2 linked regions of the Daphnia pulex genome follow. The protein of the gene in region 1 interacts with the protein of each later gene in a pairwise test. Links are inferred from orthologs where the notes say so. Each region holds a gene or a part of one and is shown on either strand. Other genes may lie near its edges. The genes, in order: atypical protein kinase C-like and protein numb-like.

What was found.
Region 2: the proteins of atypical protein kinase C-like (region 1) and protein numb-like interact in binary tests that used the Caenorhabditis elegans proteins (3 or more experiments, as listed by UniProt). The link is inferred for Daphnia pulex from reciprocal best matches to the Caenorhabditis elegans genes pkc-3 and num-1.

The regions. Positions count from the first base shown.
Region 1 is NC_060022.1:4,025,514-4,033,027, reverse strand, and holds atypical protein kinase C-like, read right to left. Parts: upstream 5,046-7,514; 5' UTR 4,798-5,045; coding exon 4,727-4,797; intron 4,666-4,726; coding exon 4,544-4,665; intron 4,486-4,543; coding exon 4,396-4,485; intron 4,336-4,395; coding exon 4,199-4,335; intron 4,137-4,198; coding exon 3,764-4,136; intron 3,704-3,763; coding exon 3,531-3,703; intron 3,466-3,530; coding exon 3,050-3,465; intron 2,962-3,049; coding exon 2,843-2,961; intron 2,658-2,842; coding exon 2,488-2,657; intron 2,410-2,487; coding exon 2,294-2,409; intron 2,225-2,293; coding exon 2,137-2,224; 3' UTR 1,660-2,136; downstream 1-1,659. Other genes in the region: F-actin-capping protein subunit beta-like, read left to right, coding at 5,394-5,396, 5,519-5,730, 5,794-6,166, 6,240-6,479; eukaryotic translation initiation factor 5A, read right to left, coding at 7,057-7,128, 7,212-7,346, 7,407-7,514.
Region 2 is NC_060020.1:5,120,070-5,127,587, forward strand, and holds the start of protein numb-like, read right to left. Parts: upstream 5,068-7,518; 5' UTR 4,035-5,067; coding exon 3,945-4,034; intron 3,213-3,944; coding exon 3,036-3,212; intron 2,913-3,035; coding exon 2,841-2,912; intron 2,766-2,840; coding exon 2,688-2,765; intron 2,615-2,687; coding exon 2,474-2,614; intron 2,289-2,473; coding exon 2,099-2,288; intron 2,018-2,098; coding exon 1,778-2,017; intron 1,594-1,777; coding exon 1,525-1,593; intron 1,369-1,524; coding exon 1,235-1,368; intron 1,160-1,234; coding exon 686-1,159; 3' UTR 1-685. Other genes in the region: splicing factor 3B subunit 2-like, read left to right, coding at 6,489-6,729, 6,817-7,463. UniProt on the Caenorhabditis elegans protein: Involved in the tethering and targeting of pkc-3 to modulate the intracellular distribution of the kinase.

The sequences.
Region 1 (7,514 bases):
CTTCTTTATGTAGTTCTTCGCCATTGATTGTTTCAAGAATGGCTCCAAGTCGGCGGCGTCACGGTTGTTGTTTTGCTTTTAGATATTTTATTTTTTCTCTTCTGTAAACTTTCCAAGTTGTCTAGCCTCTCCCGAAATTAATAACGTTAAGAATATAAGGTAAAATGTGATGTCAAACATTGTTCAATTGATTGCAAACGCGATTACGTCGTCGACTCAAAAACGTTTTGTGTGTTTGTTTGTTTTTATCTGTTGCCACGCCAGATGGTTGAACTTTGAGAGCTAAATGAATCATTTGATGTTTTGGGCATGACCAACACAACGCCTTTTGAATGCTGCTACACTCTTAAAATCAGCAGATAAATTCAACACTTTGTTTTACGTAACAGCAGCCATAGACCAGATATTAGACAGGAAGGCAAAGTACACCGGCGGACACTGTTGCCTAGCAAAGGGCAAACACGCTCGCCCAAAATTGTGTTTTTCAATTATTCTGGTTCAAGGACGTTTGTCGATCGATTGGAGAATTCCTCGCGTTCGGGAGAAAAGAAAAAAACATGGCGCCGATTGGATTTTCAGTGTGTGTGTGTGTGTGTACCCCCTCCACGTGCTACCAAAACATGAATTTATGTGTCCTTTTTTTTCTTTTCTCTCCGACTGAATTCTTGACTAACATCGTGGAAATACGAGTCAAATAAACATGTGGCAGCCAAATGGATGCCAAGTTATCACGAAAGCGTCTGTCGTAGGTTTATACCTACATTTTTAAAATGCAGCAGCATTTTTATTATTTACAAGTACGCTTAATACGACCTTTAAGTAGCCGGAGGCCATTTTGGCACCCAAGGTCTACGTGTGTTAAGAAAAAAGAGCCCGAGACGTAACAAATGTAACGGTATAACTTTTTGGGTTGTGTCGCTCCGCCTGCAACCACAAAAATGAAAAAAAAAACGAAACTCGACTAAAACTTGATTGTGTGTGTGAAATCTTGATTACGAAAATTTGTCTAATCTAAAAGATATCCTTCTTAAACAAAACAAGGATATAAACCTGATTTTGTTTTTATTAAGGGGGGGAGAGAGAGGGGCTGATTCTTTTATAAATATTTCCATAAAAGAACCTTTTTCATCGAAATTAAAAGAATGCGCAATGGGAAAAAAAGGATAAGAAAACACCATAGGGTGAGGGACATTTTCCGCGGCCCCGAAAGAATAAAAATAGAGAGCGTAAAATGTTTTCTGGGGTTTTCTTTATTCCTTTACACACACACACAAGACGAGTTTGTGTGTGTGTATCTCTTTAAATGTATAGGGGAATCCAACCGCAAAACGGTCGATGTTCGTTTCTTTCTAGAAAAGAAATGTCCGACAACGACTTCCTCCTACACGCTTTTTTTTTCTTTCCTTTCTTCGTTCGAAAAATTTCAACCAATAAACGAGTGGTTTCGTGCGTGATAAAAACTACTTTTCTCTCATCGATATTTAGTAATAAACCCCTTTTTCCTCTGCATTACATCGTTTAGCATAAAGACAACCAACGATTGTGCTAACGGCACGTCGTACCGTAGAAATGCCTTTCCCATCGAACAACAACAGGTTTCACCAATTATAATATTAAAAGGCCACCACCATTTCTTGACTGTGGATGCCATCTAGCTGATTGTGTCGACATCTTTCTTGTATATTTCTAACAAGACGGAAAAAGGCGATCTGTGTAAGGCGGAAATATAATAATTAACCAGACAGAGATTTTCTTTTTGGCTAAAAGTGACCAAAACAAAATGGCTTTTAAAAGTGACACAAAAAGAAAAGAAGACAAAAGAGATGAAGGCAGTTGTACAACAGATCGAAAAGGTGACGGAGGGAAAGAAAGATGTTCCAATGAGGCAAGAACTGGAATGGACGCAAAGTCGATTAAGACTTGATCTATCATATTTAAAAATACTGGACCGAATAAACTGATGGTGAAAAGGGGAGGGGGAAAAAAACGAAAGAGAAGAAATGGTAGGCTGTTAGAATTTTTGCTGCCGTGAAACCTGCCAAACTTTCCCTATGAAACATGTGTGTGTGTGGTTCCAATTTTTAGTGTAAATCTTATAATGGCATGAAAGCGAATGCTTCGTTTTCTATTCTAATCCTAGACGCAGTCTTCCAATGACATGAGCAAAGGATTGACGTACTCGAAACCTTCAAACTCAGACTGATCGATGCGTTCAATGACCGTCCTGCAAAGCAACAAAAAATAAAACAAAAATAAAAATCGATTCTTAATCGACAGACGATCCATCACTTACTGATCGTCGGGTGTCAGTTGGACTGGTTCGTCTGTGAACTCGGGTGGAAAGTGAGCCAGATCACGGTCGGAATCTAGACGAGGCACGTAAGGTGGAGCCACTTGTTTCTTCTCCAACTGTGCACGTATGAAAAAAGATTAGTAATCTGTTCCTAGAATGTGGATTAAACGTGTAAAAGAGAGAGATGTTCATACCATTTCCCAGTCGACTGATTTAAAGAATGGATGATGGACGATATCGACAAAGCCCGTTTCTTTTCGACAACCCAAACGATCAGCTGGATTCTTATTAAGAAACCCTTTGAGGACAGAAGAAGCCTTCACAGATAACGACCTGGGAATGCGAATCGTCTTTTCCAGGATGACTGCAATATGAAAAGAAAAGAAAAAACACACAATGTTTTACAAACAACACATTTACAATCCTCTCAAGTGGAAAAAGGTCACGCGATCTTGATAAGACCCCGTTTTTCTTGCGAACTTTATCAAATGGACTCGCGAGTTTCCACAAAGCAAATATTATAATAAAGAAGACAAGATGAAGCTCTACCGTGAAACAGATAATCTTCAGTGTTTTGGTCAGGATTCTCTGAAGCGCCGACGATGTCGAAAGGTGAACGACCGGCCAACATTTCATACAACAATACACCCAGCGCCCACCAATCCACACTGATAAAAACGAAGAAAAAGGTTAGACATTTTCGCTACAGGGGAGTTAGCGTTCCAGATTCTATTGGGTTTAATTTGTAAACATTACCTGAAACTGTAGTCTTCTCCGCGCAGAATTTCAGGAGCGATATAGTTGGGCGTACCACAAAAGGTAGACGTGGTATCACCCGGACGGATGCCCTCTTTGCACATTCCGTAGTCGGTGAGTTTGATATGACCTTCATGGTCCAGTAGGACGTTATCTAGCTTCAGATCACGGTAAATAATTCCTTTCTCGTGTAGGAAATTGAGCGCCAAAGAAATTTCAGCCGAATAGAATCGAGCGTGCTCCTCAGGAAGTCGCCTTTGGCGCTGCATGTGGAACATTAAATCACCACCACGTACGAATTCGATGACAAAGAAAAGGCGTGACGTCGTCTGGAAACACGAATGCAAGCCAACCAAGAAAGGATGGTTGGATGCCGTCTCAAAGACATGTTTTTCCGTTTGAACCCAGTCAATATCCTGAAAGTCGAGTTGTTCAATTAGAAGAAGTTGTTGATAAAATCAAAGAATCAATTTTCTTATACCTCATCATCGGTAACAAGTTCCTTTTTGATTACTTTCATGGCGTAAACCCGACGAGTTCGTCGTAATTCAACCATCAACACTTTAGCATAAGAACCACGACCAATCACACGAATCAATTCAAAATCCGCCATCGAATACGGACGTTGAACAGCACCACCTTCGACACCTTCTTCTAATATTTTAAAGTATACAATTAAAAATCTGAATTGTTTTGTATGGAAATATAAAGTACCTGGACTTCCATCAACCGGAACACTCACACTGTGAGACTCAAAAATAGGTTGTACTATTGGCGGTGCGGACGGTGCTTCGGTACCATCACCATTCTGTCGCAGCGCTGTCGGGGGTTCTCCGGCATTAACAACAGGGCTTATAGATGGAATAGCAGCAGCGGTCACTGCGGACCCTGAACTGGTATTGAGCGCGCTATTTGACAGTAGATGAACCTGGGATGGAGTGTTCAGAGCGGCCACTTGCTCCGTGTTGCAACTGATCTTGATAAGCTTGTGGCACTTTTTGTGGATGAGCAGCTTGCACTGAATGCATTTGAATCCTTGCCGACCTAGACCCCAGATACGGTCGTGACAGTAAGCGCAAGAAGCTCTCTGTCATAAAAATGGAAAGTAAGGATTACTGGGAATCAATGGTGTTGCATGGATAAACTTACGCGATTGAAACGTTTTGCCTGGAAAAGATGTCCATTGACTCTGTACAGTTTCCGCCATCTACGAGCACCACGTCGATAAATACTTTTATCTTCTCCAAAACATGGAAGCCCTGGTGACACAGGGACACTAGGGAAAACTGAATTTTAAAAAGAGTAATTAAATTTCAAGTTTATACACAAGTAGAATTAAAAAATACCATGAATAGTGATTTCTGAATCGTTGTTCACTTCATACAGACGAATAGCTTCATCAATTTCAACTTGTGAAGAGATAGTACATGGATCACCTAAAGGGATGTAAATCATAGTAAAAGAAAACTGTGTGGATTGTATGTGTTGTACAACCTTCTTCGTCAATCCATTTCATGGTAAACTCTTGATCAGGAGAAAACTGGCAAATGGCTCGCATCTCATTTTGGAGATCATCCAACAGGATCTCAGAGTTTATGTAAGTCACGAGAATTTTCCTGCAAAATAACTAATGAGGTAAGTACATACAAAGATTGAAAAAAAAAACATGAAGTATACCCGCTGAAAGCTGCCTTGACTTTGATTTCGGCCTTTTCCCCATCACTCACGAGGGTGGTGGGCATCGTCATTTAAAACAACAGGTGGGTTGGGCACAAATTGGCCGTTTCCTCAAAATTACAAACAAGTCCTCACGGCAGCCGGACTATTGTAACCATTTGAGGCTATCACTGATTGTGAACCACGATTCCACTATAACTTCTTTAAACTTCTAACAGAAAACACTTTTAGTTTTAACCTAAAAATATGAGTCAGGCGGTTAATACTGGCAAAACTGACGTTTCGAGGATTAACCTTCTATGCAGCCGCCAGGAGGCGTTCTCCGAGATTGATCAAAACTTGATTGATTTTAAAGAAAAATCGTTTTTGTAATTGTTTTTTAAATATTCTCAGCTATTATTTAATGACCAACAACACTTCCGTCATTTAATATGTGGATTTATCTCGAATTCTAATTCGAATCCGCAACCGTTTTTTTATTTCCCAGCAGGCAGAGATTTTCATTGCTTAGCGCAACTTCGGATTCAGAACATACATTTCTGTTTGTCACCGCCACTCATTTTTCACCTCGCCCATTTTTTGGTTTTTCCTGGGAAAAAAGGCCGGAAATCCTTTTCAGTTCCATTTTATTATCTCAAAAGTTTGTCGTTTCTGTCCATTTTGAACAATGGTAAGTTAAAAATCGAATTTATTCATATTTTCGGCTAGTATTAAACCTCCAATTTCAGAGTGAAAATTTTATTTGACATTTGACTTGTCTAATAATATTTCTCTTGTTATTTGTTTCTGCAGACGGAGGAGCAATTGAACCGAGCGTTGGACTTAATGCGACGTCTCCCTCCTCAGCAAATTGAAAAAAACCTGAGTGACCTGATTGACCTAGTTCCTGAACTGTGTGAGGATCTTCTATCATCAGTGGATCAACCACTTAAAATTGCACGTGATAAGAGAGAAGGAAAAGATTATCTTCTCTGTGATTATAACCGTGATGGAGATTCTTATCGGTAACAGTATTTACAGTTGTGTTGAAAACTTGACCCTAATAATAACAAATGTTGATCTGTCAGTTCTCCATGGAGCAACACCTATGAACCACCTCTTGAAGATGGAACACTGCCCACGGACAGGCTACGTAGATTGGAAGTAGAGGCCAATGCTGCATTTGATCAATACCGTCAGATGTATTTTGAGGGTGGAGTCTCCTCTGTGTACCTATGGGACCTGGATCATGGATTTGCTGGAGTCATTCTTATAAAACGAGCTGGTGATGGCGCTCGAAATATTAAAGGGTGCTGGGATTCGATTCATGTCATTGAAGTGCAAGAAAAGTCTACCGGCCGTTCGGCTCACTATAAGCTTACGTCGACAGTCATGCTATGGCTGCAGACCAGTCGTCCCGGTTCCGGAACGATGAACCTTGGTGGAAGCTTAACGCGTCAGGTAATATTATTGTTTACTTTTATGACCATGAGATATTTCCCTTAAATTGAACCGATTTTTTCTCTCGTGTTAGATGGAGCAAGACGGAACAGTAAGCGAGCCTACGTCGCACATCGTAAACATGGGTCGTCTTGTCGAAGATATGGAGAACAAAATTAGGCACACTTTGAATGAAATTTACTTCGGTAAGACTAAGGATATTGTCAACGGGCTGCGTTCCATTCAGCCTTTGGCCGATCAAAAGCAAAAGCAGGCTTTCAGCGAAGATCTGGCTAATGCTTTGCAGAAAAGACAAGGAAAAAGCGATCCTTAACTGATACATAATATTATAAATTGCATTTTCCTATTATTTCCCTTATTCAACCAAGTTTTTCCCCTCCTGTAAAGTATAACATCCATTACCCAATCAAGTTGTTGCCCGTTTTGCTTCAATTCACATGTTGAGTGATTGGAAAATAAAAGTTTGAAGTAAAAATCGTTAAATTTAAGGCTCCATTATTTTTGAAGTGCTTGAAATTGGTTTATTGAACTCTTTCGTTTTGCTGCATGGGAAATGGGTATGAGTAAGGTTTAGGTTAAACAACTATCTTGCAATCAACTGCAGAATAGCGTAGTGTTCATTAACAAGTCTGTCTATTGACCCATTGGGTCGAACGGGGGAGGCAATAATAAACCAGAACAAGAGATGGACTTATCCAATGAAACGAGGCAACAAGGTCAAGATACCCATTTCTCCCCACGATTTACATCAATCGGTAGTAGGCAAAATTAAAAGAAAGAAAGTAGAATTTAAATCCAATATCCACAGCTGTTTCCCGTTTATTTTTTTGTGTTTCTCTCCATTTTTATTGGTAACCAGTTGGAAGTGAAACTTCACAAATTTGTGTGAATTACTTTTCGGCAGCTGTGTTGGCTTTAACGGCAATCACACACTCTTCGCCGCAGGCTTTCAAAACGGTACACTATAGAAGAAAAAACAGGTGATTATACATCCACTCTTAATATCAAATTGAACAATACATCGCATAGGGTAAAATTAGCTTACCAGAAGTTCGCGACCATTTTCGAAATCAGCCCTGATTTGGTTACCCAAGTCTCCTTCTGGAACCTTGAGATCTTCACGCAAATCTCCGTTGTCATTCATCATTGAAAGAAAGCCATCACCAGATATGTCAATGAGCTAAAACAAAAATTTTGTTAATTCCAAACTAACATAATCAAAGTTGTAATTTTATATTACAGTGAAATCCTCCCTCTTGACAACAGGGACATCCATGTTGTGGGTGGAAGGGCAAATATCTTCAAGTTTCTTGCCATTGAAAATGTCGATACCAACCATGTGAACCTT
Region 2 (7,518 bases), on another chromosome or scaffold:
TTTAAAGATAAAGAGATGTACAAAATTGTGCAAGAGTCCGCGCTTCCATGAAAAAAAGCCTGCGGATCGAAATCAAATCGTTAATTGTCCGTTGTTTAGGAGGGCAACAGTCTGGTGCGAAATGGACGACAAAACTAAAAACAAAAGTTAACCAAAATAATCGTTCGTTCCCGTCTCTCCTCACCCTATCTACTAATTTCAGCCGACAGCATCACTACATGACCAAGTCGATGCGAAATTTAAAATAAAAGGATGGAATTAGTTCATGTTTCAATACCCACGCGCGAGATCTGGCCAGCTTTGACAGCTCAGCGAAATATAGGGAATGGGCATCGCAAATTTTTAGAACTGTTGTAAAGGTTCATATCCCGCCATCGTTGCACAAGGGGCAAACTTTGAATTGGCAGGGATCAAATCAAATGATATCTAAGAGGAAAAACAAAGCACAAAAAATGATGATGGCAAAATTAAGAGCGTTCCGGCACACGAAGTATAGGAATGTCTGTGTTTTCTTGAAAGAAAAATTAAAGAAAGAAGGAATTTTTAAGGGTTGGTATGGGAGAGGTATATATAATACATCAAATCAGTCTGGCATTTAAAAAAAAAAGGTAAAACCACTGATGGGTTAGTTGTCTCAGGGTAACGGGGGAAGGAAGAATTACTGAAAAGAAGTGTGCCATCGTCTCTACATACGAACTTCAAAGGTCTTGACGACAGAATTCTGAAGAAAAGGATTTGTGTTGCTGGGACTGCGCGTGGCTAAAGCGGCCCATTCGGCGTCGAACGGATCCGATATTAGTGCGTTTGTTCGATTGGTGATTGACGGGGAATGATGTGCCGGCGTACTGGTGGGCGAAGAAGAAGAGGAATGAAGAGCCGTGTGGAAAGGACTGCGCGGTGGTATCGCCGGCAAGTGTGGTGGCGGAGTGGCCAAAGAATGACTGGCCGGAGCAATGGAAGGAGCTTCTGGGGGCGATCCTAGTGATTGGGATCGTGAATGAGCCATCAAGGCAGGCGGGCGACGTGGCGGCAGCGAGCTCGGTCCTTGGGACGCCACGCTGGCCGTTAAACTGCCCAGCCACTGTTCCCCTCGTGACATTGGATTGTTCACCGACGCTTCCTTATTGTTCACCTGGAATCCGTTAGTGGGTGGGACCATCTATTTGAAAAATATAAAGTCCAAATTAGCCTCTATTAACATTAATCTAAAAACAAATGAAAAATAAAACTTTACGTTGACTTTGTTGTCCACCAGGAAGGGATCATCAGTAGACGATAAGAGTGACAATCCTTGGGATAGCTGCTGACACATGGCGCTAACTGCGTTGGAACGTTCTACCATAGGCGAAGTTTCCGGAATCGGAGTCACTTTAATAGCAAATCCATGAAAACAATTAATTAAAAATTGTCTCTGATCGGTTAACTGAAAAGTCTTTGACATGTCACTCAAATTGGTGGTCCAATCAAAATTTCCAAGCGGGAAATGGAAAAGCAACAAAACAAAAAAGTAATGCATTCACTCACTAGATGAGTCTTGGCTAGGAGATGGCTGCATACGGTGACGACTGACTCGAGGAGGAGGCTGAGGACTTTCTGTACGGTGGACGAATGGGATCGAAGCATGCATCAGACACATTGCAATAGAGAAGAAAAAAAACACCATCAACACCCACGAACAAACAAAAAAAGGATCGTCTACGGTACTGGAACAAGGACGGTAAAAAGCCGCAATGGGGAGACGAATGAGCCAGACGAAAAATAACGAAGAAATGTTTACCAGGCGTGACGATCAGGTTGGACTTGTAGCTGGGTGCTTCATTGCTCAACGAGTTTTGTTGGCGTTCGACGGTCGAGGGTAAATCTCCGATTCGAAGCGACATCTGACGTTTGAAAGGTGAACTCTGATTGAGCTGGGAGAGCCCACGAAATGAGCCTTGTCGCTCGAGCAGGTGCGGAGCAGCGTGGGGACGTTCAATGGCGAACGGATTGACCACTGCCTTGGCCGGCGCCGGTGGTTCTAGAATTTCCCACAATGAGCAATCAACACGTGAGATGCATGAGTCACTTTTGGGCTCAAGAAATAGATGTGAGGTATTACCGGCCGGTCTGTATTCCTGCGGATCTTGAATGCGTTCCGTCAAGGGCGCTGCTCTAAAACTGCCCGAGCGCGTGAATGTAGAGTTGGAGGTGTCGAAATTCATCGTCACGCTGCACTCCTTATCTCGTTTTTGTTTCCGTTCCAAGCAAACGGCAAAAGCGCAACCCACTGCATGACTCAACCGCTCTCCCTGAAAAAAGAAAAAAACCAGGGCATCAACAATAGTATTAATAACCAGCGTAAGTCAAAGGAGGAAATAAGACCGGAAACCGTCAATCCATTATCATTGACGATGGCCACTTTCATTATTGGGGTAATCAAGCTTGTCTCTCTCTCTCTCTGTTGGATTGACAGCAATTCATTTACGATCCTCACCGAGTCTTTGCTGGCCAAGAATCCGTGGCACATCCAACGACGCGTAGTACCATCACGACAGATGTACGAGAATCCTTTTTCGTGATTACGATCCGGAGCACAAAAGGAGACTTTCTCAATCGTCTGGTCGACAATCAATCCCTGTGATTCACGATGCAATAGAGAGAAAAGTGAGTCTAAGATGTCGGTGACGAAATCAACGGAAATTTCATACTTTGGTGTCTTCTTCGACAACTCGTAATCCATCGCCGGAAATGTGCAGAACGCCTTTTACTGGTCGACGTCTAGAATTCTGTTTTGGGAATGAATAAATAAATAAATGTGGAATATTTTGTCATCATCGTTTCAATGGAAATGAATATTTTACCCTGAGCACTTTGAGTGCTTCCTCGCAAACAGGCATACCACGTGACTCGTACACTTCCACGCATCCCAGATACTGGAAAAAATAAAAATTCAAAAAGGTGAGCGAATCGCAAATAAATAGAACCACGTGGATTCCTGCCAAACGTCAACAACAAAAATATACGTCCTGCACAATGTATATAACGTGCTCACGAACCTTGACGTAAAAATTGCAAGTTCCAGCTCGAACGGCAGCCTCGTCCGACTGCCATTGGTGCGGTTTTGAACTCTCGGGGACGTGGTCTTTGCGGCGACGGAAACTTTCGCGGAAGCTTCTCCGCAATCGCTCCATCCTCTTATGGCGTCCGCTCTCCTTGGTCTCGCTCTTCTCAGCCTGCAATAAGAAAAACCGAAGCAAAATATTAGAGACGCCGCGATCTGCAATGGTGTCGGGTCCAACCCGAATTCCGGCCATTCCAGCCGTTTCATGGAGAAATTAACGTTGCAACATAACGGCAAATTCGTTCAGTTAGCGCAACTATCCCGTTACGCTTTCGCAAACGCACGCAATGAATCATGCCCTGAAGAGTACGGTACCTCGGTGGAATAATAAAAAATTAACGAAAGAAACGAGAACCCACACGCCCCGAATATTATCGATTGTTTCTCAAGCGCGGGCACGTCGAGACGGCGCGCCATTGCCAAGAGAGATATTCTTTCGACCGAATCTTGATTATTACCCAAAGAATAAACAGCAACTTGTGAGATAATAAAAGAATAGGGCATCTCCGTTCGGGAAACGACAGACACACACACACACGTGAAAAAGAAAAACATGGCAAGATCAAAGAGGAGGAGCTGGAGCCTCAGAGGAAAGGGGGGCGTGACGTCGCTTCACACGTCAGCTAACGCCAGAGGGCAACAGGTCATCGCTACGCCCCAGGTAAGACGCAACGTGTTACACGCTCCGAGACCCAACCTAGCCCACATTCCAATCTTTTTTAACCTTTTGCTTCCTCAACTAAAATTACCCGATACATTCTTAGAAAGTTTCCTTGATTCGACCAAATCGAGTTGGCCACGGTCAAATGTTAAGCAGGAATTAAAATATAAGAGACCCGATCACCTTGTCGATTTCATTGGCCACCGGAGCGATCGGATGGGTTACGGCCGATTCGAGCGGATCGTGCGGAAGAGCAGAATGGGCGTTGCCCATGTTTTGGTTTTTTTTTAAATTAAGATTTGGTGGTGCAATGTGTGCAAAATAAAATGTAAAAGAGTTTTTTGTTGGATATTTTGTAGATGAACGAAAAACTAGATGTGCATCAAGATCCGTGCGAATTAAATTCGTGCGTCGTCACACGGCCGGTTTCCATTACGCCGGCACCGGCGACCCGTAAAGTCAGAAAATAAGAGATATCCGCCCAGTTGCCATTCCGGTAAAACAGAAAGACGAGCAAATATTTCCGTCTTATTTCTTTGGGTTGCACAAACGATTCCGCACGTGCAAACACACGTCACACACAGTAGTCACAATCTAGTTCACTCTTAAAAAAGATCACACTCGGCCGTAAAACACAGAAACGAAATGGCGTAAAACGGACGCAAAACGTCTGTCCAGTTGAATCACGTCGGGAGGGAAATCGATGAGAACGACCGCGAAGCTGCTGGAGGAGCAGACTATAACAACAAGCGAACGTTCCCCAGCAAGGCGGACCATCAAAATGGCGCCCGTGACGTGAGAAACCCAAGCAAACTACTGCCAAAGAGTGGAATGTAGTCCCGACCAGGTATATAGACGCATGCGACCGTGGTTGGCTCCCTTCGTGTTGCCATAGGTATGTAACATGAGGCTTTGGCCTTCATGCTTGTTCAGCTCGAGGCCATCTTTGAACTCCCTCCTTCTTTTCTGTCTTTTCTTCTACCTTTTTACTGACTTATTTCTCTCTTCTTTCCAGCTAGACAAAAAAGGTAGCAGCCGATTCCTACAGTCTCGGGGTTAGCATCGAAAATAATAATAACAAGAGATGGGCTTCATCGAAATTGTTTTTTCCCGATGATGGCATCTATGGTGACGGATCACATCTCGTACGGGGGTTATTGCATACATGAATATGAATGGACCCGCAACAGAGGAGGTGAACGAACCACATGAGAGAGCCCTACGTCGTTGAAGGACACTTTGCTTTTATCAGTTAGTCCTGTGATACGTCCGGCAAACATCAACGTGATGTGGCCATCACTTTCTCTTTCATGTCATAGAAACCAACACGATATCAATGCAGGGCAAGGTAGATTACGTTCATGATTTACCTTTGTTCAAAGCCAGCCAAGGGTCGAATCAATAAATGAAGTTACCTCGTCTGCAAATGATATATCGATAAGCATGTCAGCAGACGGTTAGAGGACAAGGGTTGCTTAATAATCTACTGATAATAAATATACTACTACTAGCTGCAGCACACACACACACAATCTTCAAAGTGGGAAAAGCAACCAAATTGGTTAGTTTCTTGGCCTTGCGGTTGCACTGACCCTGGATCAACAATGCCCTATGGCGAAAAAGGCCGACTCTTTCACTCATCGTCAAAAAAAAGAAAAAATAAAACCGTAAACGTATATGAGAGACAAGGAGAGAAAAAGAAACGGTAATGGCTTCGTGGAAAGAATGTCAACGTGTATACGTAATGGCGTGAGAGTCTGAGAGAGACCTAGTGAAGTTGCTACACGGCCTGTGTGATGAAAGTCTCTTATCGATCCGGCTCACAGGCACATCTCACATCAGGGTTGTTGATAATGAAACTGATTTCTCTTTTAGCTTCTACCAACGTTTGATCGGTTCACCGACACCAAAAAATCTCAAGAGGGGTGAAATGGCCACACGCAACGTTTCTCATCAGATTTTACGAAAATGTGATTGTCGATGAGAATTTTCCCATCGAAAAACGATAATATCAAATAGGCTGGAAAAAACAATCTACAAAAGGTATGTACAAACGTAAAGGGGAGAGAACAAATGCCGTCGGTTTCACTTGATGCTGTAGACCTCTGGGCAGAGAGAAAACCAACCAAGACTGCCTTGAATGAGAAACTGAAAACAAGCCCCGACGAAAAGCCTGTCAACACACACCAAAACAGAATCGGCCAAACTTACCGGCCTCGCGATGAACTGGACGATCTCAATGAAAACAATACGTTCACAAACTAACTAATCACACCACTCCCACCGCTTTAGCAATACTCTCAGAGCACTTCGGTTTAAGAAACCGTTTTGACTGCAACTGCATCTCTCTCAGTGTGCCACCACAAAAAAAAATCATTTAAGATTCATCAGACTGCCATCTGGTGTTGATAGTGTGCACAAGCCTTTATTAAAAATTTAGGGCGCGTCGTGAACGCCATCTGCTGGTTTTCTGTGGTACCTCAATGAATATACGATTTGATCATGGCTTTTAGATTCGGCTTCATTTGGTCGTCGTTTACTCGCTTCACCCGTTTGGTTCTCTAACAAACTTGTTTTGCTATCGTGTTTCTTTCAAGGCAGTTTTAAATTAACGTAAAACTTCATCGTGTTTTACTTGGACGCGTCTATTTTGTCTATTGATTTGAAACACCCTTTTGATTGTGTGATTATTCTTTAGAAACAGAAAGTTATTTAGTTGAATTTGACATGGATCATCACATGCCGCCCGGCTACGGCCAGGAGAATTACATGTATGGAGATCCTTCAAGGTCCTTCCAGGGTAATGCTGTCGGTATGTATGGATCAGGTGCTAGACCGATGTCACCTCCTCCAGGTGATGAAGACATTCCCGCCCATGAACATCTCCCATCAGCACTTGAAGAAGTCCTTGCTTACAAAGAATACCGAGTACGAGAAACGGGCCACTCTGGAGAGGTTGATAACATTAGTGAGTAACACTTTTATAAATTTTCTAGTCTTCATGAAAGGTTTCGCTTGCAGGAATGAACTTTATTCTTTTCTATTTTTTTTTTAGTTAATGAAATCCCTGTCAAAACAGTTATAGAAACTGAAGGAACTATTGAAGAGAGGAAAGATGATTTCGGTGGGGAAGAAAACCTTGAAGAAAAAACTAAAACTCAAAGAAATCAAAAGAAGAAAAAGAAGAAGAAGCGCACTAAGAGACATCAACAGAAAGAAGAAGAAGAAGAAAATGAAAGGAATGATGATGCTGAAGAACCTCCACAAGTGGATATTGAGTATGTCCAGGAAGAAATCATTTATGACGACAAAAATCCTTTCTACCGACAGTTTGCCAAAATCTTCGAAGCATTTAAAATCATTGATGAAAAAACTGCAAAGAAAGCTGAAGAAGATGAAGCCAAAAAGAAAGAACTTCAAAGAAGTTTAGAACTTAAGAAGGTCCCCAAGTTTGCAGAAGAGGAAGATTTGGAGGAGAAAAAGGAAAATGCTGATGATGACAAGCCAAAAGTTTCAAAAAGAAAACTAAAACAACTTACTCGACTAAGTGTGGCCGATTTGAAGCAATGTGTTGCCAGACCAGACGTCGTAGAGATGCACGACGTTACTGCTAGAGACCCCAAACTGTTAGTTCTTTTGAAAGCAACCAGAAATTCGGTCCCAGTTCCTCGACATTGGTGTGCGAAGCGCAAGTACTTACAGGTATATTTTACTATGCACAAAGGGTAAACAATTCGTTTTAAACAAATTTTTTTGT